Linked DNA regions of Callithrix jacchus. Each later gene encodes a partner of the first gene's protein in a complex. Links are inferred from orthologs where the notes say so. Each region holds a gene or a part of one and is shown on either strand. Other genes may lie near its edges. The genes, in order: RANGAP1, SENP2 and XPO1.

The links.
Region 2: the proteins of RANGAP1 (region 1) and SENP2 are in contact, whole or in part, in a crystal structure (PDB 2IO3), measured with the Homo sapiens proteins. The link is inferred for Callithrix jacchus from reciprocal best matches to the Homo sapiens genes RANGAP1 and SENP2. Residues at the interface, in NP_001265580.1 of Homo sapiens: Glu467, Asn508, Thr511, Thr514, Arg515, Val518, His519, Leu523, Lys524, Ser525, Glu526, Asp527, Val529; in NP_067640.2 of Homo sapiens: Tyr408, His409, Trp410, Val477, His478, Asp495, Met497, Gly498, Gln499, Lys500, Pro536, His537, Gln541, Gln542, Asn544, Gly545.
Region 3: the proteins of RANGAP1 (region 1) and XPO1 are in contact, whole or in part, in a cryo-EM structure (PDB 9B62), measured with the Homo sapiens proteins. The link is inferred for Callithrix jacchus from reciprocal best matches to the Homo sapiens genes RANGAP1 and XPO1. Residues at the interface, in NP_001265580.1 of Homo sapiens: Ala2, Asp5, Ile6, Leu9, Ala10, Thr12, Leu13, Ala14, Thr16, Gln17, Val18, Ala19, Gln22, Leu23, Ser24, Phe25, Lys28, Glu44, Arg55, Ala561, Thr564, Lys565, Pro566, Ser568, Glu571, Ser572, Ser574, Phe575, Arg577, His578; in NP_003391.1 of Homo sapiens: Lys245, Ser248, Thr249, Tyr252, Lys253, Glu281, Gln282, Val284, Thr285, Leu289, Met292, Gln293, Gln296, Arg340, Asn342, Leu343, Lys514, Val518, Ile521, Lys522, Leu525, Glu529, Arg532, Lys534, Lys537, Ala538, Ala541, Met545, Phe554, His558.

The regions. Positions count from the first base shown.
Region 1 is NC_133502.1:192,068,119-192,078,851, forward strand, and holds part of RANGAP1 (ran GTPase-activating protein 1), read right to left. Parts: intron 9,529-10,733; coding exon 9,469-9,528; intron 7,260-9,468; exon of another isoform or gene 6,014-7,259; intron 4,989-6,013; coding exon 4,809-4,988; intron 2,357-4,808; coding exon 2,222-2,356; intron 1-2,221. UniProt on the Homo sapiens protein: GTPase activator for RAN. Converts cytoplasmic GTP-bound RAN to GDP-bound RAN, which is essential for RAN-mediated nuclear import and export. Mediates dissociation of cargo from nuclear export complexes containing XPO1, RAN and RANBP2 after nuclear export.
Region 2 is NC_133516.1:14,565,145-14,575,877, reverse strand, and holds part of SENP2 (sentrin-specific protease 2), read right to left. Parts: intron 10,234-10,733; coding exon 10,170-10,233; intron 8,759-10,169; coding exon 8,537-8,758; intron 6,134-8,536; coding exon 6,002-6,133; intron 3,314-6,001; coding exon 3,110-3,313; intron 1,499-3,109; coding exon 1,419-1,498; intron 168-1,418; coding exon 105-167; intron 1-104. UniProt on the Homo sapiens protein: Protease that catalyzes two essential functions in the SUMO pathway.
Region 3 is NC_133515.1:52,620,377-52,631,109, reverse strand, and holds part of XPO1 (exportin-1), read right to left. Parts: intron 8,878-10,733; coding exon 8,816-8,877; intron 8,594-8,815; coding exon 8,549-8,593; intron 6,376-8,548; coding exon 6,194-6,375; intron 5,553-6,193; coding exon 5,504-5,552; intron 5,429-5,503; coding exon 5,309-5,428; intron 3,910-5,308; exon of another isoform or gene 3,805-3,909; intron 3,139-3,804; coding exon 3,010-3,138; intron 1,431-3,009; coding exon 1,272-1,430; intron 215-1,271; coding exon 17-214; intron 1-16. UniProt on the Homo sapiens protein: Mediates the nuclear export of cellular proteins (cargos) bearing a leucine-rich nuclear export signal (NES) and of RNAs.

The DNA.
Region 1 (10,733 bases):
ATGCACTCCAGCCTGGGCAAGAAGAGTGAAACTCTGTCTCAAAAAAAAAAAAAAAACATACAAAAAGTTAGCTGGACATGGTGGTGGGTGCCTGTAGTCCCAGCTACTTGGAAGGCTGAGGCAGGAGAATCACTTGAGCCAGGGAAGCAGAGGTTGCAGTGAGCCGAGATTGTGCTACTGCTCTCCAGCCTGGGTGACAGAGCAAGACTCCGTCTAAGAAAAAACAACCCATTTTAAGCCCACCAGAGGACACCTTATGAAGGCTCAGCACAACCACAGCATCGCCCCCATTCCCAGTGCACAGAGGACAGCAAGCTGAGGGCAGGGAGGGATCCAAGGATGGCAACAAGGCCCCTCCAGCTCTTGAGGAGGCAGCAGGAGCTCCCCTGCAGCCAGGGGTGCAGGGAGATACGAGGCAGATCTCTGTGCTATCCACTTGGCACTGAAGTAGGCAAGGAGTGTCTACAGACAAACTCTGTGGGCAGGCAGGAGAGGGTGCCCATTCAGCCCAGTATGAGCAATGCTCCTAGGATACTGTTTGTTGAAAAAAAACATTTAAATTCAGAGAAGAGTGGCTGGGCACAGTGGCTCACACCTATAATCCCAGCACTTTGGGAAGCCCAAGCAGAAGACCACTTGAAGTCAGGAGTTCGAGACCACCTGTCCAATGTGGTAAAACCCTGTCTCTAACAAAAATACAAAAATTAGGCCAGATGCAATGTCTCATGCCTGTAATCCCAGCACTTCGGGAGGCTGAGGCAGGTGGATAATGAGGTCAGGAGATCAAGACTATCCTGGCCAACACAGTGAAACCCCAACTATACCAAAATACAAAAACCTAGCCAGGCATGGTAGCACACGCCTATAGTCCCAGCAACTTGGGAGGCTGAGGCAGGAGAATCTCTTGAACTCGGGAAGCAGAGGTTGCAGTGAGCTGAAATCATGCCACTGCAGACTAGCCTGGCGACAGAGCCACACTCCATCTAAAAAAAAAAAAAAACACAACCAAAAATTAGCCAGGTGTGGTGATGGGCGCCTGTAATTCTATAATTACAGCTACTTGGGAGGCTGAAGCAGGAGAATTGCTTGAACCTGGGAGGCAGATGTTGCAGTGAGCCAAGATTGTGCCACTACACTCCAGCAGGGGTGACACAGTGAGACTCTGTCCCAGAAAAACAAAAAAGAGAAGAGGGAGACAGACCCCAAAGTTTTCAGTTCTGTCATGGGCAAGTGTGACCTTCTTCTGGCACTCATGGTTGGAGACTCAACAATGTCCTAGGGAGCTGGGGAGAGGAGGAGGGGGGAGACGAGGAGAATGGAAGAGGAGCAGGGACAAGGTAACCCAAGAGCACTTCATCTGGCACCTAAGCCCTGTGGCTGCCCCTGCCTGTCTCCCTGTCTTAGGAAGTCTAGTAAGTTCTTTCTCTGTGCCCCACACCAGGGGCTGGGAGCACTCATCACTCATGTCACCTTGCTCCACCACTTTTTTTTTTTCCCCGAGACAGTTTTACTCTGTCGCCAGGCTGGAATGCAGTGGCGAGATCTCGGCTCACCACAACCTCTGACTCCGATTCGAGCCATTCTCCTGCCTCAGCCACCTGAGTAGCAGAGATTACGTGCCACCATGCCCAGCTAATTTTTGTATTTTTGTTTTGAGACAGAGTCTTGCTCTGTCACCCAGGCTGGAATGCAGTGGCGCAATCTTGGCTCACTGCAACCTCCACCTCCTGGGTTCAAGCAATTTTCCTGCCTCTGCCTTCCGAGTAGCTAGGACTACAGGCGCCCACCATCATGCCTGGCTAATTTTTGTATTTTTAGTAGGGGTTTCACCATGTTGGCCAGGATGGTCTTGATCTCTTGACCTTGTGATCCACCCGCCTTGGCCTCCTGAGGTATTGGGATTGCAGGCGTCAGCCACCGCGCCTGGCATCTTGCTCCACCAATTCTGGGCCTGGCAGATGACACTCCCTGGTCAGAGTGGCCTGAAGCCTCACAAGGGGCTGCTGCTGGCTCACCTTTGGGAGCAACCACACATCTTTCCAGAAATGCATGACAGGAATCCTGGCCCATTTTCGAATGGGCTAACAGGCTTGAAGAGGGCATATGACGCCTCAGGTCTCTCGGCTGAGTGCCTGCCATGGGATCCACATCCAGGACTAACAGCTTACTGTGCCGAGTGCACCTCAGGGCTGCGGGGGCAGGATGGACAGAAACCACTCACCCTAAAAGCTTCTGCCAAAGCAGTGGCGCCATCGTTCTCCAGACGGTTTCTGCCAGCTACAAAAACCTTCAGGGCCAGAGGCTTGCCTTGGGCACTGGATTTCTGGTGACACTCGGTCAGAGCTGCAGCCAGGATCTGTGGGAAAAGGCAAGGGGCCCAGGCCATGGGCAGGAGCCCTAGCAGGGCAGCCACTGCTGCTGAACTGCTCTTCCACATCCCACACATTCAGGCAAAGCACTGAAAAACAGAGACTGACTAATGGGAATCAGAGCCCATGGTCAATGAGACATAAAAGAATCACGAGCGAGTGTACCAGGAGAGAAGTGATGTTTGCAGAACACCTGATGTTTGCAGAGCACCTGCTAGGGCCTGGGCACCCTCAGTAAGGTATTTGCATACTTTCTCACTTCAACCTCAACACCAGCCTGGGAGACAGGTGGGACTGGTCATACTTTACAGATGAGGAAGCTGAGGCTCTGAGAGGTGAGTGAATCGGCCAGTCACCTGGCAAATACTCAGCAAAGCTGCACATGGTGGGTATGTTGGCCTAACTCCTGGCATGAGACTGCACACAGCTGTCCCTGAGAAACAGAAGGGCCAGCATCTGCCTGACTTCACGGTGGCTATGCTGGATCATGCACACACTCAAGGTAGAGATATCAAACTTCTGCCATAGACCAGCCTCTCAGGAAGCTACTCGGCGGCAGCAGCTGACTGCTAGGTCACCCCCATTCTCCCCGATTCCTTGGAGGCCACATGGGGAGGGCCTTAGCTCCTGCAGGAGTCCAACTTGGGTCTGGATAGTTCCCAAGCACAGGGCCACACCTCTTGCCCTGTCAACTCCTCTGGGCCCTCCTATTCTCATGGTGCATGGTGCAGAGACCGCACTAAACATATACTACCCAAGAGAAAAAGATTCCAAAGGACCAAAGGACCTACAGGCCTTGGTTAGACACTCAGAGCATCGTGTCTGAGCTCCCAAGAGGCGCAGATCAGCAAGGCCAGGACACAGAACCTAATCAAATCAGTGGTCAGGGAGGCTCAGAAAACCATCTGTCAAACTCTAGGGTTAGAGTCTGCCTGACTGTGAGGCCCTCTGGCCCTGGGGTTCAAAACTCATTCCCCAACTCATCCCACTGCAAGTATAGGACAGGCTAGACAAGCCCTGGCCAGTAGGAAAGTCCCCTGAGCCTCAGTTTCCAGGCACTGCTGGGTGGGAGAGGGGAAGTAATGGAAGGAAAACCAAAGCACTTGGCTGGAGTCTCCAGCTCTCCCAGCATATCCTACTCATTCCAGGTTGGGCTGCACCTGCTTTCTGTGCTGATGCAAACATTTTTAGATTTTTTTTTTCTTTTTGAGACGGAGTTTAGCTCTTGTTGCCCAGGCTGGAGTGCAGTGGTGCCATCTTGGCTCACCACAACCTCTGCCTTGCAGGTTCAAGCAATTCTCCTGCCTAAGCCTCCTGAGTAACTGGGACTATAGGTGCCCACCACCATGCCCAGCTAATTTTTTATTTTTAGTAGAGATGGGATTTTACCATGTTGGCCAGGCTGGTCTTAAACTCCTGACCTCAGGTGATCCACCTGCCTTGGCCTCCCAAAGTGCTGGGATTACAGGCGTGAGCCACTGCCTTGGCCCATTTTTATATCTTAACACAGGGACAGCTTATTGCCCAAGTGGACTTTGGGGAGGGCTGGCTAAGGCAGGCACAGAGCCTGCCCCTACTTACCTACACATCAGGAAGAGGGCCACAGGCACCCTCTGCAGGGTAGGCCACTCCAGCTCCCCAGCCTGGGGCTCCATGCGCCTCACAGCACCAGCTATGTGATCCACCCCACCCCACCTCTCTAAGCCTATGCTGAGTCATGTGGAAAAATGGGGATGGCACCACCCCACTTTCAGTGGGGATGGGAAAGTTAAGGTACTTCATATTCAAATAAGATGTCCCCAACTGCTGTTAGTTCCGTGTCCCCAGCCCTATCCTCCCTTTGGTCAGAAAGTGTGTGTAGGGGTTGCAGCCTGGCACTCAGTGTTCTCCAACCCTGGGTCTAAAGACACCAGGATGCAGCTGAAGAGAACAGGGCAGACCACTCTCTATGCAGGTTCTGGGAAGAAAGAAGCTCCACCCTACACTGACCAGCCCAACTTGAAGCTCTACACTGACCTTGCCTAGGGACAGTCCCCAGGCAAGGCCCTGTCCAAGAATAAAGGTGAGCTGTGACTGTTCCTTCATGAGCGGACACTCTTTTCAGGCTTCTTCCTCAACCTGTGTGCCAGGCTCTGCCAGCTGCTCTGAGGGTACAGTGAGTGTAGGGATGCTCCAAGACATGAGTTTTGCAGAGCCAGCAGGTATACGGCAGCACTCCCTCTGCATTGCCAAGCCAACCCAAGAAGTTGGGATGGTTGCTTGGCAACCCACTCTCACGGAGGCCTCTACCCTCTGGCTGTAGGCTGCGGCTTGAGGCCTTTCTCTTTTGAAAACAACAGCTGACCATCCCAGATGGTGGTGGCCAAGGGCCAGGGCACATAGGTCAGATGGATGTGGATGGAGCAGGGGACTCTACTGGGAGGGGGCCGCCATACCCACCTTGCCGCCACCAATGCCCATGCCACAGTTGTTGAGCTTGAGTTCACGCAGGGTGAAACAGGCTGAGCTCTTGAGCAGGGCTTCGAAGCCTTGCACACCGTCGGGCCCGAATGCGTTGTCACTTAAGTCCAGTTCCACCAGCTGGGCCCCAGCTGTGATGAGTCCTTCCCCTAGTGAGATCTGGGCACAGAGGAAGCTCGTGTCAGTTTCTCTTTTTTTTTTTAAGACAGAGTTTCGCTGTTGTTACCCAGACTGGAGTACAATGGCACGATCTTGGCTCACCACAACCTCCGCCTTTTGGGTTCAAGCAATTCTCCTGCCTCAGCCTCCTGAGTAGCTGGGACTACAGGCACGCACCACCATGCCCAGCTAATTTTTGTATTTTTAGTAGAGACGGGGTTTCACCTTGTTGACCAGGATGGTCTCAATCTCTTGACCTTGTGATCCACCCGCCTCGGCCTCCCAAAGTGCTGGGATTACAGGCTTGAGCCACCGTGCCCGGCCACGTGTCAGTTTCATAGATACCCAGCATGTGCTGCTTCCATGCCAGGCCCAGCTCTGCCTTCCGAGGACACCCCGGCTAATAGAGAACTGGCATAGACACGAATCATTTCGGTATTCTCAAGACTAGAAACCCTGCAAAGGCCTCCTAACAGATGGAGAGTGGGGCGTGTGTATGCATGGGGTGGCCTGGGAAAACTTCTAAGAAGCGGCATTTGAGCTTAGTCTGGAGAGAATCAGCTAGTAAACATGAAAAGATTCCAGGCAGCTGAAAAAACAGGAGCAGAGACATAAGAATGAAGCAGCAGGCTGTGAACCTGGGGGCAGCTGTGGAAGGGCTCTAGAAGAGGCCATGGCGTGGGCTTTGGATGGAAGGGAAGTGAAGGGTCAGATCAGGCAATAGTCTTGAATGCCAGGCCAAGGACTATGAACCTCAGCCTGAGAGCACTAGGTTTTGAAGTGGCTGAGGGATGTGGAAGAAACATCCCCGGACCTGAGGAGAGCACATGGACAGGTGGGGGGCTGGAGTGCCCACCCAGGAGTGTGAGGCAGTGACACTGGCAACAGAGAGGGGACCTGCTGGCCAGTGTGACAAGTGCAGGAGAGGAGAGGAGCTGCCTGTTCATGGAGCAGGGGACATGCAGAAGCTGGTGGTTCTCTAGATTGCAGGAAGAGGGAGGGAGGAACCACAAATGCCTCCAGGATTTCTTTTTTTTTTCTTTTGCTATTAATCATGCCATATGATTTTTAATTATGCATAAACATCTAACATATCACCCAGGGACCATTACACCCACTGCTCTGTTTGGCTGCCAGTCTTTTGTCTCTCTCTTCAGCAATGGTGAGGCGGATACCCTTTCCTCGGGGAAGAGAAATCCATGGTTTGTTGCCCTTGCCAATAACAAAAATATTGGAAAGTCCAGTGGCAAAGCTGTTGCCATTGGCATCTTTCACATGAACCACATCGAAAGATCCAGAGTGCCTCTCTCTGTTCGTAATCACACCAATTCTTCCCAGGTTAGCACCCCCAGTCACCATACACAGGTTACCAGTGTCAAACTCGATGAAATCAGTAATCTTGCCAGTCTCCAAATCAATCTGAATGGTATCATTCACCTTGATGCGGGGATCAGGATAGCGGATGGTGCGAACATCATGAGTCACCAGATGAGGGATTCCTTTTGTGCCCACAAAGATTTTTCGTACTTAGCACAATTTGTACTTGGCCTCCTCAGGTGTAATACGATGTACAGCAAAGCGACCCTTGGTGTCATAGATCAGATGGAAATTCTCTCCTGTCTTGTCAATGCTGATGACATCCATGAAATCAGCAGGGTAGGTTATATCAGTTCGGACTTTGCCATCAATTTTAATGAACTGCTGCATGCAAATCTTCTTTACTTCATCTCCTGTCAGGGCATACTTAAGTCTGTTCCTTAGGAAAATGATGAGGGGGAGACACTCTCACAACTTGTGAGGACTGGTGGATGGACGAGGAGCAAACACACCGGTCAATTTATCCAGCATCCAGTGCTTTGGAGCTGCCACCCGCTTCAGATGCTTCTTGGGACCATGAGCCATGGCTGCGTTAGGCAAGGAAAGAGCCTCCAGGGTTTCTGATGGTGACTGGCAGATGGAGGTGGCCATCTCCAAGCCATGGCCAGGGACCAGCTTTGGCAGGCGGATTCGGAGCTCTCCTGGAAACCTCGTGGGCTGGGGAGAGCTACACTCCCTCACCCCCCAGGAGAAATGGTCAGAGGAGAGGAGGCCCTGCCAGAGACTTGGGGCAGAAAGGGGGCTGGGCAGGTGGTCCATGGAGGCAGGAATGAGGAAAGGAGGCTCTCTGCCCTTGCCCTGGCCACAGGCATGGCAGCTGAGGCAGTTTCTACTGTCCTCCCACCACTCAGCAAGCAAAAGGCAGCGTGTCCGCTGGTTGCCTGGCCCACAGAAGGCCTAGCCCCTGGCCATCTGGCCCCAACTGACCTCCAGCCCTGAAGAGGCAAGCTGCTCAAATACCCTGTGCCTACTCCACTTCATGCCATCTTCGGACCCCAAATTCTTTTATCCCCCTCTTAAGATTTGTTTTTATCACTGGGAACATAGAGGTAAGAATACTTTCCTTCCTCATTCCTGTAGGGTCAAGTAAAAGAAAACAAAAACCAAACAGACACCTTCTGAAAGCTCAGGAAAATTAAATGCTAAAATTTAGGCAAAACCTGCACAACGAGAATTCCACAGTGAGTATGCAAAATAGTTTCTTCACCATCTTTTCTGACTTGAAATTCCTTTTTTTTTTTGAGACAGAGTCTTTCTCTCACCTAGGCTGGAGTGCAGTGGCATGATCTCAGCTGACTGCAACCTCTGCCTCTCAGGTTCGAGTGATTCTTCTGCCTCAGCCTCCCGAGTAGATGGGATTACAGGCATCCACCATCATGTCCGGCTAATTTTTGTACTTTTGTAGAGACCGAGTTTCACCATGTTGGCCAGGCTGGTCTTGGAGTCCTGACCTCAGGTGATCTGCCTGCCTCGGCCTCCCAAAGTGCTAGGATTACAGGCGTGCATGGCCAACATGCCTGGCCTGACTTAAAATTCTTTAACATACAATCACTAAAATGAATTTGCTTTTTCCTTGAGACAGAGTCTCACTCTGGCACCCAGGTTGGAGTGCAGTGGATGGTCCTGGCTCACTGCAACCTCCACCTCCTGTGTTTAAGCAATTCTCCTGCCTCAGCCTCCCAAGTAGCTGGGACTATAGGTGCCCACCACCATGCCCAGCTAATTTTTGTATTTTTAGTAGAGATGGGATTTTACCATGTTGGCCAGGCTGGTCGCAAACTCCTGACCTCGGGTGATCCACCTGCCTCAGCCTCCTAAAGTTCTGGGATTAAAGGTGTGAGCCACCTCGCCCACCCAGAAATGAATTTTCTTAACCTACATTCCAAATCCTGGCCTCACAAACCAGGCGCAGTGGCACACCTATAATCCCAGCTGCTTGGGAGGACCATTTGAGCCCAGGAGCTCAAGACCATCCTGGCCAGCATAGTGAGACCCTGTCTTTAAAAATAAAACAAAAGGGCCAGGTGCAGTGGCTCACGCCTGTAATCCCAGCACTTTGGGAGGCTGAGTCAGGTGGATCACTTGAAGTCAGGAGTTCGAGACCAGCCTAGCCAACATTGGCAAAACCCCATCTCTACTAAAAATACAAAATTAGCCAGGTGTGGTAGTGAATGCCTATAATCCCAACTACTCAGGAGGCTGAGGCAGGAGAATCACTTGAACCTGGAAGGTTGAGGTTGTAGTGAGCTGAGACTGCACTCCAGCCTCGGCCACAGAGTGAGACTCTGCCTCAAAAATAAATAAATAAAATAAAAGGAGGCCAGGAGCGACCAGGCTGAGGGGCTTAGTAACATCAGCGTGCATACTCATCACTGACCAGAAACCTGCACCCCCATGGCCTGCCATGTGCAGCCTCCTGCTAGGAGGACACACTGAGAGGCTGCTGACAGCCAGACCTGCCTTCTTCCCTTGGCCAGGGAAGCCTTCCTGTGTTCTGTGAGGCCCCTTTCTATTTCCTTACACACACACACACACACACACACACACACACACACACACACACACAGCTCCGGGAAGACTGGGAACTTGATGCAAGCCGGTCTGAGCCCGGGAGTGAAGAAATGGGAAGCCAGCCATGATGGGCGCAAACCAAAGCTGAGAGTGGCATGGAGAAAGGGAGAAGCCAGAGAAAGACTGGGACAGGCTTGTGGGCTATGTGCAGAGAAGTCATGAAGGAGCAGGACTGTGAGGTGCAGGGAGAGGTACCAGGAAAGCTGAGGCAACCGTGTTGGGGTGAAATCCACAGTGAGCCAAACCTCACAGCTCAGGAGGACCCAGGAGTGTGTGGTCTCAGCTCTCCTGCCTCCCTGGAGTCCCCGCCCTTGGGCTTCCTCCCCTGCCAGCTCCTGTGTTCCCACCTGCCCCTCCTGTCAGGATACAGGCTGCATGCTGGGCTGGCTGGGCTTCCATTTCAGCAGCTCAATCACCCAATCACCCAAAGGCTCCTATCTTAGATTCCAGAAAGAATAAGGTGTGAGAAAAGCCCTGGGAATTGCCAAAGAGGGCCCTGTGCCTGGAAGGGAAGCACAGCCTGTTCGCTTACCAGGGCTGGCGGGATCTCAGACCGAAGCCTCCCTGTGAACATGTCACTCCAGTGGCAGCGCTGTGGCAGAAAGAAGAGAAGAGTTAGCGGGAGAGAGACCCCTGGAGGCCTACAGTGAAGCCTCATCCTGATGGATCTGAACCACCCGAGCATCACAAGACTTAATTTGAGCTTCATTTGTGAAAAGTGGGACCTATTCTGGCTGAAGCTGGTGGTACCTGTCTTCAAGCCAAGAGGCCTCCAAGGTTTATATGAGGCTCAGAAGTGTCAGAAATTGCACTGGAACCGAACCATTTTCTGAGTAAAAATAAAAAAGGAAAAACAAAAACAGAAGTGTCAGGAAAATCCCTGACTTGTACAGCCCTGTAGGTGGATGTGTGACATGGTTATGGATGACAGAGAAACATGAACGTAAACAACACAGAATTCAATGTTGAGGGCTGGTGGCTCACGCCTGTAATCCCAGCACTTTGGGAGGCCGAGGCGGGCAGATCACTTGAGGTCAGGAGTTCCAGATCAGCCTGGCCAACATGGCAAAACCCCAGCTCTACTAAAAATACAAAAATTGGCCAAATGTGGTGGCATACATCTGTAATTCCAGTTACTGGGGAGGCTGAGGCAGGAGAAGCGCTTGAACCTGGGGAGGCAGAGGTTGCAATGAGCCAAGGTTGTACCACTACACTCCAGCCTGGGTGAGAGTAAGACTCTGTCTCAAAAAAAAAAAAAAAAAAACAAATAGAATTCAGTGTTGAGGAAGTAACTTTTTTTCAAGTGTCTTTTCAACCCTTCAGACATCTCTGAAGTTGGCCTTGGCATGAGGCTGCTGGGTCTTGCCCACCTCTCTACTCCTTTACTTTTTAACAAAGGGAGAGCAGGCCTCAGGCTCAGAGATGTTAAACAGCCAACAGCGTCAAATAATAATTCAGTAACACTATCTTCTTTCTTTTATTTTAAGGAATGCCAGCTTTCCATTCATAGAAGTACTTTGAAAGTACATGAAAGTTAGCTGTGTTTTCTGTTTGTTTGTTTTTTTTTTTAAGAGATGTTTTCTCACTCTGTCGCCTAGGCTGGACTCCAGTGGCACAATCATAGCTCACTGTAACCTTGAACTCCTGGCCTCAACCGATCCACCCACCTTAGCCTCCAGAGTACCTGCAATTACAGGCATGTGACACCACTCCCAGTATGATTTAAAGAAAGTATTAGGCAATTAGGCCAGGGGCAGTAGCTCATACCTGTAATTCCAGCACTCTGGGAGGCCAAGG
Region 2 (10,733 bases), on another chromosome or scaffold:
GTGAAACCCTGTCTCTTCTAAAAATACAAAAATTATCCAGGTGTGGTGGCATGTGCCTGTAATCCCAGCTTCTCCAGAGGCTGAGGCATGAGTATCACTTGAACCTGGGAGGCAGAGGTTGCAGTGAGCCGAGATTGCGCCACTGCACTGGGCAACACAGACTCCAACTAAAAAAAAAAAAAAAAAAAAAAAAGTATGAATTTTCAAGTCCTGTCATAAGCAGTACATCAAACTGTACTGTATGATCCCAGTAAGAACATTTCTACACATGGGATAATATATGTGTATGTGTGAACACAAATGTATGTGTGTACAATTTATACATATACAAAGAAAAGACTAAAAGAGAATAATCATTTTATAAACAATTTGGTGTATCTTATGATTTTTAGAAATTTCTTCTCTATACTTTTTATTCAAGATAACCATAAATAAAAATAATATTTTATACTAAAACAATATTGAATTACTGTTAATAACTTTTCTTCACAAGATTCATCTGTCCTTACTAAAGTTAGAAGAAGGAACTTCATTGCTTCTAGTGAGCAGAAAAGGAAAAATGGACCCATCTTACTGATGCATTTTCTCACTTCATGTAACTACTTTACATAGCTAAGAAGTAGCTAAGCTTTAAAGACAGGTTTCTATTATAGCAATTACTATTTAAAACAATCACCTACAAACCACACACTTCAAACACTGCCTCTGAGTTCTGAGATAAACCCAACTCTCATGGAAAGCATAAAGACATGAGTGGGCTTAAGAATTTAGAGGACTAGGCTGGGCGCGGTGGCTCAAGCCTGTAATCCCAGCACTTTGGGAGGCCGAGGCGGGTGGATCACAGGGTCAAGAGATCGAGACCATCCTGGTCAACATGGTGAAACCTGTCTCTACTAAAAAATATACAAAAAATTAGCTGGGCATGGTGGTGCGTGCCTGTAATCCCAGCTACTCAGGAGGCTAAGGCAGGAGAATTGCCTGAACCCAGGAGGCGGGGGTTGCAGTGAGCTGAGATCGCGCCATTGCACTCCAGCCTGGGTAACAACAGCGAAACTCCGTCTCCAAAAAAAAAAGAAAAAGAATTTAGAGGACTAACACTCCCCAACTAACAGTTCCTTAGAACATTCAGAATAATGTATCAATACCAAAGAAATCTAATTCAAATCAGAGAATTCCAGTAAGATCTATTTTACCTCATAACACATGACAAACTTGTTTTCAGTGATGGTACTAAACACATTTTCTCAGTTGAAATCAGCTATTATTTTTAGACAAAAAAATAAAATGCATGCTAAGCCCTGAAATAGCCTTAACTATATATTAGACCACCATCCAAACAGCTTCCTAGGATGAGATGGAAGAGAGATCACCTCAACGGGGGTAGTGAGGCGACAGCGAAGGTTTCAACATTTACTTACAGGAGAATCTCGCAGATCCTGTGGCCCTTTTGTCCCATGGAATCCAGATATTTAAGACACTTTTTTCTTAGGTCTATCACCTATGATGGAAAAAGACAACATCCAGAAATATCTTAAATGTAAGAGGAGAATTTTACTTCCAAAAATAAAAGTATCTTTTAGAAAATCAATACATGTACCAATATAAATGGAGTTCTAAGTTACACTTAAAAAGTAACCTAGAACTCCATTTATATTGGTACATGTATTACATTTCTTAAAGACTTATCTTACATAACTTTAGTAAAAAGTATATTTTTTAGTTGAAACATTAGTGGTCCTCTCAGTGATGAGACTTTTTGTTGTTTGTTTTTATCTGTATCTTTCTTTCTTTCCTTCTCTTTTCTTTTCTTTCTTTCTCGTTCTTTTTTCTTTTTCTTTTAAGACAAGATCTCGCTCTGTCACCCAGGCTGGAGTACAGTGGTGTGATCACGGCTCACTGCAGCCTCGACCTCCTGGGTTCAAGGGATCTTCCACTTCAGCCTCCCAAGTAGCTGGGACACAGGTATGCACCACCATGCCCGGCAATTTATTTAATTTTTATATAGACAGGATCTTGCCATGTTGCCCAGCCTGGTCTCAAACTCTTAGGCTCAAGCAACCCTTCCTGCCTCGACCTCCCAAAGTCTGGGATTGTAGGCATGAGCCACCACACCTGGCTTTATATCTGCAATTTTTTTTTTTTTACAATAAACCTGTACTATCTTATAAACAAAACTAAATAAATATAATAACCCTTACGTATACTAAGACTCTCCTGTTAAAAACGAAAGGTCCTCAAGTACAAGGACTTGATCTTCTTGCCTTCTAAGTTGTTAACTCAAGAACTAAAAAGGAGGCCAGGTACGGTAGCTCACCCATCATTCTGAGGCTGAGGTGGGGGGACTGCTTAAAGCCAGGAGCTCAAGACTAGAGACTCTGTCTCCACAAAAAAATAAAAAATAAATTCTAAAAAATTAACTAGGCATACTTGTGCATGTCTGTAGTCCCAGGTACCTGGAGGCCAAAGTAAGATCATTTGTTCCCAGGAGGCTGAGGTTACAGTGAGCTATGGTTGTGCCACTGCACTCCAGCTTGGATGGCAGAATGAGACTCTGTCTCTAAAAATAAAAAAATAAAAAGGCTATGCATGGTGGCTCACGCCTGTAATCCCAGCACTATGGAAAGCTGAGGCAAGAGAACCACTTGAGGCCAGGAGTTCGATACCAACCAGAGCAATATACAAGACTCCATCTTGCCAAATAAATAAATAAATAAATAAAATTACCCAAGCATGGTGGACCATGCCTATAGTCCTAGTTACTCAGGAGGCTAAGGCAGGAGGACCACTTGAGTCCAGGAGTTCCAGGCTACAGTGAGCTATGATCACACCAATTCACTTCAACCTGGGCAACAGAGCAAGGCCTGGTCTCTCATTTTAAAAAATAGTATTAAACATTTTTTAAAGAATAAATAAAAGAGCCAAAAAGGGTTGGGTGAAGGAGGGGGCATTAAGAAAAAAAAAAAAACAAAAACTAAAAAGAGACTCTGTAGAGTATGCTTATAACATATACTACTGGTCTTTATACCCTGGGCAGAAAAGGGGAGCATTCTTTTTGAAAAATGGTCTTTATCCAAAGTCCAACAATTAACTATTAACCTTCTCTACTCACCACCAGGCTCCAATGTACCTTCCGATGAATAGGCACCAGAATAATTTCTTGTTCAAAGAGATTTACCCCTTTGGTCCATCTTTTCACTGCTTGGTAACCCCCAGACTTTAATTTAGGGTAGAAGAAAGTACTGAATACATGAAGTGCTGGATAGCCTTGCTTTTTATTTCTTTCCACCAGAAGATTCAGGTAAAAATTAATGACCTACAAAATATCAAGGGAGTGAAAGCTGGAACATGACAAATATATTATCAAAACTAAATTTTTACCTGAATAAGGACAAATTTGAAGGTAAGGTTCTAAAGAAGGAGATAGGGCTGGGCGCGGTGGCTCATGCCTGTAATCCCAGCACTTTGGGAGGCTGAAGCAGGTAGATATCCTGAGGTCAGGAGTTCAAGACCAGCCTGGCCAACATGGTGAAACCCCATCTCTACTAAAAATACAACAATTAGCAGGGTATGGTGGCAGGTGCCACGGTCTCAAAAAAAAAGGGGGGGGGGAGATAAAAGGACTGTCTAAAGAAAATGACAGCAAAAAAAGTCATCAGTGCAAAATGGGACACATGAAAAAAGAATGAAACTGTACTTTTTTTTGAGACAGAGTCTCGCTCTGTTGCCCAGGCTGTCAGCTCACTGCAACCTCCGACTCCCAGATTCAAGAGATTCTCCTGCCTCAGCCTCCTGAGTAGCTGAGACTACAGGTACACACCACCATGCCCGGCTAATTTTTGTATTTTTAGTAGAGATGGGGTTTCACTATATTGGCCAGGCTGGTCTCAAACTCCTGACCTTGTGATCCACCTGTTGGCCTCCCAAAGTGCTGGGATTACAGGTGTGAACCACTGCACCTGGCTGAAACCATACTTTTAAGGCATGTGAGTAACACTTAATAGCCAGAAGAAGGAATTCAAGAAGAAAGTCTGTGTAATAATGAAAAGATCTACATAACTGTATCACACCAAAAAAATGCAGAAATAGGAACAGTAAGTGAATTTTACTGCATATAAATTAGACTTCAGTTTAAAAATATTAACTGGAAGGACATACACCAAAATATTAACATTTTATTTATCTTTGAATGGTGGTACTTTTGAACAGTCATTTTTTTAGTTTTCCTGTATTTTCCAAATTTTCTACAATAAACAAATTATATTTATCATGTAAAACAAAACATTCCTGTTTTCAATGAATCTGTTTGTAAGTAACTAGTCATAGGGGAAACAGGAAAACAGGAAGGGAGATGAAGAGAGAAGATGCAGGGCCTGCAGTTAGGGAAAAAACCCACCGGAAAATTGTCAGGAAGAACTTAAGAGCCAGCTTTTGCTAAATATATTAAGGATACAAGAGACAAGTCAGGCAAAATTTTTCAGTTAATACTCAAAGAAAAGGCCGGGCACGGTGGCTCAAGCCTGTAATCCCAGCACTTTGGGACACTGAAGCGGGTGGATCACAAGGTCAAGAGATCGAGACCATCCTGGTCAACATAGTGAAACCCCGTCTCTACTAAAAAAATATACAGAAAATTAGCTGGGCATGGTGGTGCGTGCCTGTAATCCCAGCTACTCGGGAGGCTGAGGCAGGAGAATTGCCTGAACCCAGGAGGCGGAGGTTGCAGTGAGCCGAGATCGCACCATTGCACTCCAGCCTGGGTAACAAGCGCGAAACTCCGTCTCAAAAAAAAAAAAAAAACATGGTGAAACCCCATCTCTACTAAAATATACAAAAAAATTAGCTGAGCATGGTGGCACGTGCCTGTAATCCCAGCTACTCAGGAGGCTGAGGCAGGAGAATTGCCTGAACCCAGGAGGCGGAGGTTGCGGTGAGCTGAGATCACGCCATTGCGCTCCAGCCTGGGTAACAAGAGCGAAACTCCATCTCAAAAAAAAAAAAAAAAAAAAAAAAAAAAAAAAAAATACTCAAAGTATGCTGGGCGTGGTGGCTCATGCCTGCAATCCCAGCACTTTGGGAGGCCAAGGTGGGTGGATTACCTGAGGTCAGGAGTTTGAGACCAACCTGGCCAACATAGTGAAACCCCATCTCTACTAAAAATACAAAACTTAGCTGGGCATGGAGGTGGGTGCCTGTGATCCCAGCTACTTAGGAGGCTGAGGTAGGGGGATCACTTGAACCCAGAACTGGAGTTGCCGTGAGCTGAAATCGCACCATTGAACTCTAGCCTGGTCGACAAGAGCAAAACTCCATCTTAAAAGAAAAAAGAAAAATACATATAGTATATAATAATCAACATATCCCTTTATTACTCAAAAAATAAAACAGCTACTATAAGAATTCATCTAAAATATAATACCACTTGCTGCTTCCTCCTATTCATCAGCTGTGCCCAGGGTTTATTGGAGACTAGTAAATGAAGAGGTGGATACAACAAAGTACAGATGCACAAAAGGGAAACATCACCAATTCCAGGCAGAAAATCAGATTTCACTATCTTTTTAAGATTTAAGATATCTTTTTTGGCTGGGCGCAGTGGCTCACGCCTGTAATCCCAACACTTTGGGAGGCTGAGATGGGCGGATCACCTGAGATCAGGGGTTCGAGACCAGCCTGGCCAGCGTGGTGAAACCTCGTCTCTACTAAAAATACAAAAATTAGCCGGGCATGATGGAGCATGCCTATAATCCCAGCTACTCAGGAGGCTGAGGCAGAATTGCTTGAACCCAGGAGGTAGAGGTTGCAATGAGCCGAGATCGTGCCATTGCACTCCAGCCTGGGCAAAAGAGCAAGACTCTATTGCCAAAAAAAAAAGATGTCTTTGTTTTAATTATAACTAAAAGTTGCTTTACCAATCTCTATAACTGGGTAGGAATCAATGTGATTATAGATAATAAATAGTTAAACTTCATGATGGCCAAAAGGGGGAGGGAATACGACTTACTTCATCATTGAGCCAGTGATAATTCTTTAATGTCTGGATGTCTCCTCGAGTAATTCGCAATTTGAAAGCACTACTTAGGATTTCATCCTGTGGGCCATGGCCTAAGGCATTACTGATTTCCTTTTCCATGTCCTGAATTAGAAAGTCCAAAGGTTACTATTTTAATATAGAAACATTATCAGCTATTGAAAAATCTGAGCTGAAAAAAAATTTTTCATTTCGGCAGCACCTGACTCTTGAGAAAAATATACTATCAGAGACCTACTAAACTACAGTATGAAAACAATTTATCCTTATTTTTTAGTAATAGAGATGGGGCCTGATTAATTGCCCAAGTTGGCTACAAACTCCTAGGCTCAAGCAAAACCCGCCCTGGCCTCCCAAAGTGCTGGGATTCTAGGCATGAGCCACTGCACCAGCCCTGAAAATATTTTAACTTATAACTACAAAGCAGTCTTCCTAATATTTACAAAAAATGCTGGTTCAATTAGTAGCTTGTGGAAACAATAATAATAATTATATACATCTAAAGTATGGTCTCAATTATCCTACTATCAGGTATCAAGCACTATAAGCCGAACATGATGTTAGATACTTGAAGCACATTCTTACTTGTTGGGAAGGTATCCTACCATTTTATAGAAGAGAAAATTGAAGCTCAGAGAATTTATTTTACATATTAAAAGTCATATAATTATTAAAAGGTAGAATGAAGATTTGACCCCGGTGTGTCTGATTTACTGTCTTTTGCTCCTTTCATAATACTAAAACCCTGATTTCCACTCTAAGCTTTTTTTTGTTTGTTTTTGATACAGAGTCTCACTCTGTCACCCAGGCTGGAAATCTCAGCTCACTACAACCTGCCTCCCAGATGCAAGCGATTTTCATGCCTCAGCCTCCTGATTAGCTGGGATTAGACATGTTGCCACCATGCCGGCCATTTTTTTGTATTTTCAGTAAAGTCAGGGTTTCACCATGTTGGCCAGGCTAGTCTCAAACTCCTGACCTCAAGTGATCTGCCTGCATTGGCCTCCCAAAGTGCTGGGACTACAGGCACGAGCCACCACACCCAGCCTCTCTTTTAAATGTTTAAAACATCAAAATAAGATTAGGACATCTAAGGGGTCATACCATCCTTTTTGACAGAAAGAGAATAAGCAAACAGGCAGAAACTTGGAAACCAGGCAGCAGTCTAGCAATTGACTCTTTATGGAATAAATGGATTCATCATACTAAGGAATAATGTGGGCCAGGCACGGTGGCTTACACCTGTAATCCCAGCAATTTGGGAGGCTGAGGCAGGCAGATCACGAGGTCAAGAGTTTGAGACCAGCTTGGCCAATATGATGAAACCTGTCTCTACTGAAAAATACAAAAATTAGCCAGGTATGATGGCATGTGCCTGTAGTCCCAGCTACTCGGGAGGCTAAGGCAGGAGAATTGCTGGAACCCAGGAGGCAAAGGTTGCAGTGAGCCGAGATTGTGCCATTGCGCTCCAGCCTCAGCAACGACAGGGTGAAACTCTGTCTCAAAAAAAAAGAATTATGCAGATAAATGCATTATTTAAGACACAAAACTAGATCTATAAATCCACTACAAATTATTTCCCTCTAGGCCAGGCATGGTGCCTCATGCCTGTAATCCTGGCACTTTGGGAGGCCGAGGCAGGTGGATCACCTGAGGTCAGGAGTTTGAGACCTGCCTGACCAACATAGTGAAACCCCATCTCTACTAAAAATAAAAAATTAGCTGGGCATGGTGGTGGGCGCTTGTAGTCCCAGATACTCAGAGGCTGAGGCAGGAGACTTGCTTGAACCCAGGAGGCAGAGGTTGCAGTGAGCCAGGATCGTGCCATTGCACTCCAGCATGGGCAACAACAGCGAAACTCTGTCTCAAAAAAAAAAAAAAAAAAAAAAAATTATTTTCCTCTAAATATTTTTACCACTGCTTCCTCCCACTGCACAGTTTCACTGTTTTATGGATCTCTCTCTCCACCTGCATGCCCAATATAATAGTAAGTATTCAAGAGAGATTCACCTACTAGATTCCTACTGTAGAGGAAGCCAAGATGTGGGTGCATCTTTAAAATAAGAATTTTAACTACCTTCATTCTTTATGTTCTGTAAATTTTTACAATTTTCAGATGCAATAATCAACAAAAGGGACATCTTAGTAAACTATAATCACTTTTTAAAAAATGCAGTGGACTTATTCCTAATTCCAAACCTATGCTATATAACTCACTCAACATATTTGAAGGTTAGAATCTACAAAGAATTTGTTGAATTCCAAGATATGTGATGACTGTGTCGACTCACATTTGCTGAATATCAGTTTGATCCCTTAGGTCACTAACGATCATGCCTCACTAATGATCAGTGTAGCCAAAGTGCATAAATAGATCATGGGCCTGATTTGTTTTCATATATTCATCCTTAGCCTGGAGAAAGTCCTCAAAACAAAACATTCAAGTTTAGAAGTACTGAGGTTATTTAAAGACATGCCTCTTTTTAGGATCAATACAAAGAACAATACCTCTGTAAGTTCAAGGAGATCATCTGTTCTTCTGTCCCTCTCTTTGCCTGAGCAATTCTTTTCCTTTGTCTCAATTATTGACACTTTCCTCCTGAGTAAGCCATTGCTTCCACTGCCCAGGCGGAGTCGGGCTGACACTTCTTCTGATAGGTCAGGCTCCAGCTGGTATCCCCTCCTCTGATCAAAAAAGCATCTACATTCTACTGACATGTTTGATACTTGCTAATATAAACATAGATAACACATGAAATATAAAACTGTCAGTAATATGAAAGAAAAGAGAATTAGCAAATCCCCCAAATGAGTAGATTTATCATATCTGCCTGTCCCTGCAAGGGGAAACAAAAAAACTCCAGACCTAAGATTCACAGGATACCTCAGTTACAAACCATGAAACAGAACACTCGCCACATTCCCTGGAAGGAGCAAAAAAAGTATTTTCAGTTCTCCTATCACAATTAAAAATAGTATGTTTAAAAGATTATTATGAAAGTTTTAAATAGCAAAAAATATGACCCACAATCCCACCACTCAGAACAAATACCTATCTTTATGCTAACTAAACTTGGTTCTAGCTTATCCTTGTAAAAAGTCATTTTATATTATAGAAAATGCACAAAACATTAATGTACCACTTAATTCATTTTTGTAAAATGAACACCTATATAACCACCATTGTGGTTATATAAACAAATAGAATTCTGCCAGCACCCTAAAGCATTATCAGAGATGTATGATTTTTAAGAAATTCTCCATAAAAAGCCATAAAATGTAGGTAAAGTGTTGGTATGGAGATAGGTTCATCTTTCATAAACAAAGGTGGCTACTGTACAGAGGCAAAACTCCAACAACTCAGAAAGAAGAAAAAGGTTGTATATTTTCAATACTTGCCTTTTTTTTTTTAAAGAGACAGAGTCTCGTTCTGTCACTCAAGCTGGAGTGCAGTGGTGTGATCACAGCTCACTGCAGCCTTGACCTCCTGGGCTCAAGCAATCCTCCTGTCTTAGCTTCCCAGGTAGCTGAGACTACAGATGTGTCACCATGCCTGGCTAATTTTTAAATTTTTTGTGGAGACAGTCTCACTATGTTGCCCAGGCTGGTCTCAAACTCCTGGGCTCAAGATCCTCCTGCCTTGGCCTCCCAAAGTTCTGGGATTACAGGCATGAGCCACTGTGCCTGGCTGGCTTGCTGCTTTCTTAAAGAAAACAACAGAAGTAACAATCTAAGTAATATATATATAATTTTTCTTCTTTTTCATTGGTACCAAAACATAAGTTATGTAAGTAAATGGGTATCAAAATTTTTTTTTTTCTTGAGACGGAGTTTCACTCTTGTTGCCCAGGCTGGAGTGCAATGGCAGATTCTCGGCTCACTGCAACCTCCACCTCCTGGGTTCAAGCGATTCTCCTGCCTCAGCCTCCCGAGTAGCTGGAATTACAGGCATGTGCCACAGGCATGCCTGGATAATTTTTTTATTTTTAGTAGAGACAGGGTTTCTACATGTTGGTCAGGCTGGTCTCAAACTCCCGACCTCAGATAATGTCCCGCTTTGGACTCCCAAAGTGTTGGGATTACAGGAGTGAGCCATGCACCTGGCCTATGGATATTAGATTTAACTAGGATTTTTACTTACACTTTCATTTTCAAATCTGAGTCCAACCATCTTTTCTGTATCAGAAATTTTCCCCTTTGTACACCTAAGGAAAATAATTGAGAGATGATAGATTTCTGCTAGATGACTCAAACCTAGCACATCCTAGTTTTAGAAATAAGATTTCATAATCTGCAAATAAAAATTGCCTTTTTATATAATATTCTAAATCAAGAGCCAACAAACTTTTCTGAAAAAGCACAGACAGTATTTTAGGCTTTGCAGGTTTTATGGTCTTGGGCATATCGTGGCAACTCTACCACTGTAATTTAAAAGCAGCCATAGACAGTATGTAAATGAATGTGCACACTTCAACAGAAACGTACTATACAAAAATAGGCAAGCAGACCAGATTTGGCCTATAGGCCATAATTTACAAACTCTGCCATAAACCATCATCCAAAAATCCTAAGGTATGCTGAACTGCCTTTATTGTTCTTATCCTAAAGACACAGACCTCTAGATATCTCCACTAGACCCACACTCCTATCTAAGAATCATGCGATTCTCCCAACCCTGATGCCTGGGAGATAAAGGGCACCCCCC
Region 3 (10,733 bases), on another chromosome or scaffold:
TCAACCACTCTGTTACCTTGAATAACATGGGCAAATACAGCTGTCTCCTGGGAGGAACATCAAAATGTTGACTTCCAGATAGCAACGGAGAGGCAGATGTAGAGAATGGACTCTCTCTATAGAGTTCAGCAGCCAAATGATTCCAGTATTCAAGACAAATTTTAAAGATTTCAGTTTCTTCTACTTCAGATACCAACAACATATAATGAAGGGCCTACAAAGAACACCAAAACTATTAAAATAATTCTTAAACATTACCAACTTAAAACTGCTTTTCACTTATAACATTTAAGGGAAAATAAAAATTCATGTTTTACTCATCACACCTCAGATTTCAATACTAATCAAATAGACTGTAAACTCTGGAGGAGTAACTCTGCTTCTTCTGACATGCCCTAAAATACTTCAAAGTTTTTATCATGTCTCTCTGAAGGGACATTTTAAAGGCCTCGGGCGCCAACGGGCAAGAATTATCAACAACCCAAATGTACCATCATAGATGAGAGAACAAACAGAATATTCAGACAATGAAAATGTTCTTCAGCCACGATGTAAAGTAAGGTATTGATATAGGTTACAGCATGGAAGAACACTGAAAACATGATGCCAAATCAAAGAAACCAGACACAAAATGTTACATGTATGATTCCTTTCATATGGTATAATCAGAATAGATACATCTACAGAGACAGAACCCAAACTAATGATTGGGAAAGAGAACAAAGAAGGAAGTGACTGTTTTATGAGTAAAGGGTCACCTTTGGATAATGACAATGTTTTGGATCTAGGTATTAATAGTTGCACGTTGTATATATACTGAAATGCCACAATTTTGTGCGTGTATATTTGTATACATATAATGCATGTGTATGCATATATATATATATATATATATATATATATATATATATATATTTTTCCTCTTCAGAGTCTTGCTCTGTCACCCAGGCCGAAGTGTAGTAGCAGGATCTTGGCTCAATGCAACTCCGCCTTCTGGGGTCAATCAATTCTCCTACCTCAGCCTCCCAAGTAGCTGGGATTACAGGCACAAGCGACCATGCCCAGCTAATTTTTCTATTTTTTAGTAGATAGTAAGTTTCACCATGTTGGCCAGTCTGGTCTTTAACTGCTGACCTTGTGATCCACCCACCTGGGCCGCCAAAAATGCTGAGATTACAGGCGTGAGCTACCACGCACATCCAAAAGACACACTTTTGAGAGTATCAGTAGGTAGAGCAGAATTTTAGGAGCAAAGGCTCCACAAAGCTTACCTCCATTAGAGTTTCCCTGAGATTTAATCTTTTTTCTATAAGTTGATCATGTTCTTTAAGAAAGGTGCAAAGAAACAAACTGAGATTTTGAATAAAGTTCTGTTCATCATCTTTTCCATTTGAGTATGCAAGTCGAATATTGGTATTTAAAGGAAGCATCTGCAAATTTTAAAAGGGACAATTAGTTTGCATTTTATAGAACGACAAAAGACTTTTATTTTATTATTATTTTTGAGACAGGGTCTCACTCTGTCATCCAACCTGGAGTGCAGTGGTATGATCACAGCTCACTGCAGCCTCTCAATCAGTCCTCTCAACTCAGCCCCTCCCAAATAGCTGGGACCACAGGCATGTGCCACCATACCCAGCTAATTTTTAAAATATTTGTAGAGACAGTATCTTGTTATGTTGTTCAGACTGGTCTCGAACTCCCGACTCAAGTAACCCTCTCACCTTAGCCTCCCAATGTGCTGGGATTTCAGGTGTGATCTACTGCACCCAGCCAACACTATTATTTTTAAGCCCTAAGATCCCAACAGTCTTTTGCTAATATTAAACCACAAACACAACTCCTAGAGCCGGTATACCTATTCTTCCATTCCTAAAACCTAGATTTTGACTCTTCTCAAATAAATACATTGGAATGAGTAGGGCTGCGATCATTCAAAGCCTTTAAGTTTTTTCTAGTATTGGACTGATCCCTTTCTCGGTGACAATGAAAACGTAAAAACAGTCAATTCATTCATTCAGATCACAAACATACACAATAATCTACTTCTCCTTTTTTTTTTTGAGACAGAGTTTTGATCTTGCTGCCAGGCTGGAGTGCAGTGGCATGATCTCAGCTCACCGCAACCTCCACCTCCCAGGTTCAAGCGATTCTCCCACCTCAGCCTCCTGAGTAGCAGGGACTACAGTGTGTGCCACCACACCCAGACAATTTTTGTATTTTTAGTAGAGACAGGGTTTCACCATATTGGTTAGGCTGGTCTCGAACTGCTGACCTTGTGATCCGCCTGCCTTGGCCTCCCAAAGTGCTGGGATTACAGGCGTAAGCCACTGTGCCCAGGCTTTCCTTTTTTTTTTTTTTCAAGAGACGGGAACTTGCCCTGTCATCCAGGCTAAAGTGCAGTAGTGTGACCATAGCTCATTTGAACTTTGAACTCATGGGCTCAAGAGATCCTATTGCCTCAGCCTCCAGAGTAGCTGGAACTACAGATGTGCAACACCACAGCTGGCTACTTTAAATCTTTTATAGAGACGATCTGGTTATGGTGTCCAGGCTGGTCTTGAACTCCTGGTATCAACTGGTCCTCCTATCCTGGGCTCCCAAAGTTCTGGGATTATAGGTGTCAATGCTGGCCATGAACACGGTATTACGAATAACCTTCTAGATCATTTAATAGATAAATAAGCAATCAAACTATGGCTGGAAAGAATTCTTCCAGACACAATGTTAGGAACAGATGCCAGTTCTGATCAGTTCCCACTGTCTGATCAGATCTCTCCCAAAGGACCAAACTCCTAAACTGTGCAGAAATAAAATTACCACAACATACCCCAATCTTGAATTTTAAGAAATTTTTGGAGATATAAAAATTTGTAGCTCACTATAAATTTTATGTAATAAATATAAAATAACTATGGCTATGACACGCTGTTCTAAAATAGCTCATTTGAAATTCAGTATTTTCTAAGGCACTAAAATTGTTCAATTTTCAAGACAATATTACATTACCTGCTTTAGTTGCATCATTGTCAGAGTAAATAGCGTTACAAATTGTTCTTCATATTGGCTTACACTCACACCAGCAATCTCAGTGAGGCACTTTAGAGAGACATTTCGAAACATTGGAACATTCAAGAACTATTCAAAAGAGGGGAGGGAACCATAAAATTAATTGGCCTGACAAACACTGTACTTAAAATTCACAATTAAAAGGAAAAACTACTTAACAATTAAACACAGAAGTAGATGTCAGAAACAGGCCAAGTAAATGCACATATTGTATCTGACAGATATACTGAGAGGAAATTTGATTACCTACCCAATACACATTAAATGCTTTAAGAGCAAATTCTGCTTTCTTTTGATGTGTTCTTAGACATCTAAAATAACAAGACTCCTTAACAACTTTCCTAGAATCTGTGACATGACTTTTGGGAATGTCATACTTTCTGTGTAATTACACAGAACCTAAAACTTGTGATTGCTTAGGATTTTGGAAAATGGTTATTATATCTAAGAGTAATAAGAAAGTGGGAAAACTGGCTTTTATATTCTATTGTTGAGAAGATAAACAATTATCCGGGTTTGGGAATTTAGTGGGCATTAAAACCTTAAAAATAAACATAGCTAATAACCTGGTAATTATACATTAAAATATTTTTTTCTTACCTAAATCTCACCTTGAAACATTAAAATATTTAAAGAAAGTGACTATTTGGACAACTGCATAATCTTTTATGTCTAAGAACGTACTCTGTAAGACTGGTGACAATACCAGTATTTTTATTTATTTTTTTAAATAAAAAAAATATGGAACACTTCACGAATGTGTGCCATCCTTGCCCAGGGGCCATGCTAATCTTCTCTGTATCGTTCCAATTTTAGTTTGTGTGCTGCCGAAGCGAGCACAACAATACCAATATTTTTACATAACTTAATTGAGCAATAAACTGATCATTCAAATACCATAAATCATGTTACCAAACTCTAAACTACAAAGTTGAAGGGGTTAAGTTACAATGTACCAATTAATTTATTCATTACATCAGTCTTAGAAAACATCTGAACATGTAATACAACTAATTGCTAACAGTGATTATCTCCGGATGAACCACTGTAGAATTTTTTTTTTCTGAGACAGGGTGTTGCTGTTACCCAGGCTGGAGCGCAGTGACAAAATCTTGTCTCACTGCAGTCTGCCTCCTGGGTTTGAGATTTTCCTGCCACAGCCTCCCAAGAAGCTGGGACTTACAGGCATGCACCACCACACCTAAGTGGTTTTTTTTTTTTCCTTTTTTTGGTGAGATGGAGTCTTGCTCTGTTGCCCAGGCTAGAGTACAGTGATGTGAGTCTGGCTCACTGCAACCTCGACCTCCCAGGTTTGAACAATTCTTCTGCTTCAGTCTCTCAAGTAGCTGGGACTATAGGTGCATGCCACCACACTGGGCTAATTTTTTATATTTTAGTAGAAACGAGGTTTCACCATGTTAGCTAGGATGATTTCGATCTCCGACTTTGTGATCTACCTGCCTAGGCCTCCCAAAGTGCTCAAATTATAGGCATGAGCCACTGTGTCCGGCAAGTTTTATATTTTTTGTAGATATGGGGTTTCATCATGTTTCGCAGGCTAAACCATTGTATAACTTAAAGAACACATAAGATGGTATCAATTTTTAAATCTCAGTTAAAAGATTAACTTTTCATTTTTCACAAATAGTACTTGACTTACCTCACTGTAACTTATACATTCAACTAATAGATGGCAACACAGGGCTGGACGCAGTGGTTCACGCCTGTAATGCCAGCACTTTGGGAGGTTGAGGCAGGCAGATCACCTGTGGTCTGGAGTTTGAGACCAGCCTTGCCTACATGATGAAACCCCATCTCTACTAAAAATACAAAGAATTACAGGCGGTCACCTCTAATCCCAGCTACTTGGGAGGCTGAGGCAGGAGAATTGCTGGAAACTAGTGAGTAGAGGTTTCAGTGAGCCAAGATTGCGCCACTGTACTCCAGCCTAGGTGATACAATGAGATTCCGTCTCAAAAAAAAAAAAAATATGGCAATATAATCAAATCCATTATTTGTTATAAATGAATTCATAAAATTACATGGTACAAGTGGCAGAATCAGATTTGAGACTCACTTCAAAGAATTTACTAGGTGTAAATATGAAACATTTCTTCTGAGCAGTTTCCTCATGTTAGAACCAAGGTTGAATAATGGTTTTGAATGCAGATATGAGAGCTTTATATGTGAAAAGAATATATGTGGCTATCCAGTGACAAATTAACTGTATTCACTGTACCTTATAAATTAATGTGCTGATTAATTTGGTCTCAAAAATATATCCCAGTGGAATCCAGTTCAGGAATCTGAGCAACGTTTCCAAGGTTGCATGTACAAGTGGAGCATTTTGAGAATTTTCCTACAATAAAACATACTTGTAAATAATTGCTAACATATTATTGTTATTTTTAAAAATGAAATTAAAAACACTTACCATTACAAACTGACACAGTTGAAATATCTGTGAGAATTCATTGCACATGCTAAAAAAATATATATACATATCAGTTTTAGAAGACACAGAAATAAATTAACAGTTATGTACAATACTAATAAAAATGATTAAGACCCAGTACAGTAGCTCATGCCTGTAATCCCAGAATTTTAGAAGACCATGGCAGGAGAATTGCTTGAGCCCAGGAGATCAAGACCAGCCTGGGCAACCTAGCAAGACCCCATCTCTCAAAGGAAAAAAAAAAAAAAGATGAAAATTTCAACCATCTGGTAATTAAAGATGTGACTATATTTATCTGCTCTCTCTCAGCAAAATTATCTTCTATTTAAACATTGAGCCACTGAACTCCAGCCCAGGTAACAGAGTGAGACTTGTCTCATAAAATAACTAACTTGAATGTTTGGACACGAATCATTTGCTTAGAACCTATTAATTAGTTATCATACAAATCAAATCCTGAAGTGTATCTCAGAACAATCCACTTTTCAACCTCCAGAGGTAGTTATAGACCCAATCTAGGACTATTTCTTAATTTGTAGTTGAAAACCAGTATAAACAATTGAACGTATTACTGATCATGGTTCCTTAAAATACCTACAATATACATTCAAATTGCTTGAAATTGTTTGAGAAATTACTTTAAAATTCTAAAACATAATTATTACTTGCCTGTCTTTTAAATGCTTAGATTTGACTTGGGTTATCTGTCCACTAGAAAAATCAAATACTTCTTCGCTCAAGAGTTTAAGAATCACCATATTATTTTGACAGAGACTTTCGCTGGTCCTACTTGCTCCAACGATATCGCTAATAAAAGTTGGCCAATGTTTTGGCCACTCTTGTTTCAGTATCTAAAATAAGACATGAAATGTTAATCGCACTTCCTTTATCAAATGCAAATAAAACAACCTTCAAAGAAATTGTTTAATGGATAAAAGCAGCAGTAAGGACCAACCACTTTTCATTTTCTCCTCCTTTATTTTATTTTATTATTATTATTTTTTTTGAGACGGAATTTTGCTCGTTACCCAGGCTGGAGTGCAATGGCGCGATCTCGGCTCACTGCAACCTCCGCCTCCTGGGTTCAGGCAATTCTCCTGCCTCAGCCTCCTGAGTAGCTGGGATTACAGGCACACGCCACCATGCCCAGCTAATTTTTTTGTATTTTTAGTAGAGACGGGTGTCTCACCATGTTGACCAGGATGGTCTCGATCTGTTGAACTTGTGATCCACCCGACTTGGCCTCCCAAAGTGCTGGGATTACAGGCTTGAGCCACCGCGCCCGGCCTATCTCCTCCTTTATTAAAACAAATGTGTCACCCTCTTCACCATACTGGGTAGAAAATAAAACACCAATAAAGTATTTTATCGTAATCGCCCCAAAACCGTTCTCAATTATCCTAATGAAAGGTCTGATTGGTCTAATGGGTCTGTGTATTAGTATCTGCCTGATAGATATGTAGAAATTATCCTAGGAGGCCGGATGGGGTCGCTCACACGTGTAACCCCAGCACTTCCTGGGAGGCCACAGCAGGCGGATCACTTGTCGCCAGGAGTTCAAGAACAGCTTGGCCAACGTGGTGAAACCCTGTCTCTACAACAAATACAAAACTTAGCTGGGCATTGTGGCGCAGGCCTGTAGCCCCAGCTACTCTGGAAGCTGAGGCAGGAGAATTGCTTGAACCTGGAAGGCAGAGGTTGCAGTGAGACGAGACCTCGCCACTGCATTCCACCTTGGGAGACAGAGCGAGACTCTGTTTCAAAAAAAGAAACCATCCTAGGAGACTCCAGAATTTAACTAACTATAGATGATAAAAATTGACTGGGTGGCTGGGCACAGTGGCTCACGCCTGTAATCCCAGCACTTTGGGAGGCCGAGGCAGGTGGATCATGAAGTCAAGAGATCGAGACCATCCTGGTCAACATGGTGAAACCCCGTCTCTACTAAAAATACAAAAAATTAGCTGGGCATGGTGGCGTGTGCCTGTAATCCCAGCTACTCAGGAGGCTGAGGCAGGAGAATTGCCTGAATCCAGGAGACAAAGGTTGCGGTGAGCCGAGATCGCGCCATTGTACTCCAGCCTGGGTAACAAGAGCGAAACTCCGTCTCCCAAAAAAAGAAAAGTCTAAAGTATAATAAAAGCTGGAGTTTATCACTGAATACACCAAAGTTTTTGGAGACTTGGATGTTTCTAAACCTTATTTCAACAGAAAATGTGTTTTTTCCCCCTCATATACAAGGGTTCTCTGGAAAAAAATTTATGACAGTACAGGAAACAGATACATATAAAAATTATCAATTTGGTCAACATAGTGTAACGACTAAGCATGGAAATCAATTAGAAGGTCGAAAAAAAAATCAAAGGATTGAGAGAGATAACATGCAAAGGGAACATGCATAGGCATATTAGAAAATTAAAAAACAATCTGGCTGGGAGCAGTGGCTCATGCCAGTAATCCCAGAACTTTGGGAGGCCAAGCTGGGTGGTTACCTGAGGTCAACAGTTTGAGACCAGCCTGGCCAACATGGTAAAAACCCTGTATCTACTAAAACTACAAAAAATTAGCCAGATGTGGTAGCAGACACCTGTAATTCCAGCTACTCAGGAGGCAGAGGCAGGAGAATTGCATGAACCCAGGAGGCGGAGATTGCAGTGAGCTGAAATGGTGCCACCGCACTCCAGCCTGGGCAACAGAGTGAGACTCTGTCAAAAAAAAAAAAAAAAAAAAAAAAAAAATCCAACATACACTCCAAAGCATATTGCAGCCATATAGATGATATGTTTAACAATATTTGATGTTTCCTACCACAGCAAATTAACATTCACTAGTAATTTAATTTACCAGTAAATTACTAGTAAATTTACTAGTATTTCACTAGTAAATTAATTTACTAGACAGTAGGATACCTATTATTGTTGAACACTATCATTGCTTCTGTAAAATATTAATATACTTTATTTCCTAAGTAGGTCAAACATTTTATTCAAATAAGCATATTTTTTCTTAGAAGGCAAAGCTTACCTGAACAAGAATCATATTTAATTTTCCGATATACACCTTTTCTTTCTAAGGAAAGATAAAAGATTAAATGAGAGCCTGAGGTAAGTATAATAAGAATATAAGCATAGACAATCCTCCTAAGAAACAAACAATTACAGCTCTACTGCAAACGACTGATTGCGCTTATGTGGGACTATGTGTCTTGACAAATCAGGTTGTACGTAGTCAAAGATGACTCAATATCTAAATGATTTTATGCTCTCCTAATAATCTCCAAAATAAACTTACCTCTACACAAGTTGGGTCAGATGATGTCTTGATAATGAGGCCAACAACGTATTTTTTTATTCCTATTAAAAAAAATTGCACATATAAAACAAACTGTTATCTCTTTTGCAGCATGCAAATAGATTTTGAGAACTGTATTTGTAATTAATGTGGGAGTGGGAGGATTAAGTAAAATCAGATAGTATACTCTCACCCCATCACCAATATTGGCATTAAAAAAAAATTCTGGCATGGTGGCTCACACTTGTAATCCCAGCAACCCTTTAGGAGGCTGAGAGGGGTGAATCCCCTCAGATCAGGAGTTTGAGACCATCCTGACCAAGATGATGAAAACCTGTCTATATTAAAAATACAAAAATCAACTGGATGTGGTGGTAGGTGCCTATAATCCCAGCTATCAGGAGGCTGAGACAGGAGAATTGCTTGAACCCAAGAGGCAGAGGTTGCAGTGAGCAGAGATCGGGCCACTGCACTCCAGCCTGGGTGATAGAAGGAGACTGTCTCAAAAAAAAAAAATAAATAAATAAAAATAAAAATCCACTGAGTTTAATGTCCTATTCATACTTTTAAAGATGGGATCTGGCATTGTTGCCTGGGTTGGTGTTAAATTAGTAGGCTCAAGTGATCCTCCTGCACAGGTCTCCCAAAGTGCCGGAATTACAGGAATATGCCAACACATCCAGCCTGTAACAAACTGCGATTCCAGTTTCTCTCATCATAATCTGGGTTTCACCTGTTTCTTTTCTTTTTTGAGCCAGAGTCCTGCTATGTCACCCACACTGGAGTGCAGTGGTATCATCTTGGCTCACTGCGAACTCTTCCTCCCAGATAAGTGATTCTCCTGCCTAAGCCTCCCAACTACCTAGGATTACAGGCAAGGACCAACACACCTGGCTAACTTTTGTATTTTTAGTAGAGACAAGGTCTAACTATTTTGTCTAGGCTGGTCTCAAACTTCTGACCTCAAATGATCTACCTGCCTCAGCCTCCTAAAGTGCTCGATTCATTACCCACTGCACCCAGCCCTTTCTTTCTTCTTTTAGAGACAGTCTTAATCTGTTGCCCTGGCTGTAGTGCAGAGTTGCAATCTCGGCTCACTGCAACCTCCACCTCCCGGGTTCTCCTGCCTCAGCATCCCAAGCAGCTGGGATTTCAGGCGCGTACCACCACGCCTTGGCTAATTTTTGTAGAAACCAGTTTTCACCATATTGGCCAGGCTGGTCTGAAACTCCTGACCTCAAGTAATGCACCTGCCTTGGCCTCCCAAAATGCTGAGATTACAGGCATATGCCACCACACCTGGCCCAAACTTTTTTAACGCATAAAAATTTACTGATGGCTTGGGCACAGTGGCTTACTGCTGTAATCCCAGCACTTTTGGAGGATGAGGTGGGCAGATTGCTTGAGGCCTAGAGATGAAGGCTTCAGTGAACTGAGATTGTGCCACTACACTCCAGCCTGGGCAACATAGTGAGACCATGTTTCAAAAATGAATTAATATACATGTTATTGTTTTCCACTATACATTAATTGCAACATTAAGCTAATGAAAAATACATTAACTTCTCCACACACACATTAAATAAAAAAGGGAGGAGGTTTAGAGAAACATTTCTTTACTTAAGGATCTCTTCAGTGTAAAACCTACTCTTTAAATAATTAAGACATGATACTCATATCCTGGATTTTAATTTGCTTCATGCAGAATTTGCTGAGCATCTACTATAGGTTTCATTCTCCAAGATCACAGGATTCAACGATGTTGCAAAATTTTTAATTCTCAGAACATTTTTAAAAGAAGTGTTGGTGCAGGCTGGGCATAGTGGCTCATGCCTATAACCCCAGAACTTAGGGAGGCTGAGGCTGGCGAATCATGAGGTCAGGAGATCAAGACCATCCTGAACAACATGGTGAAACC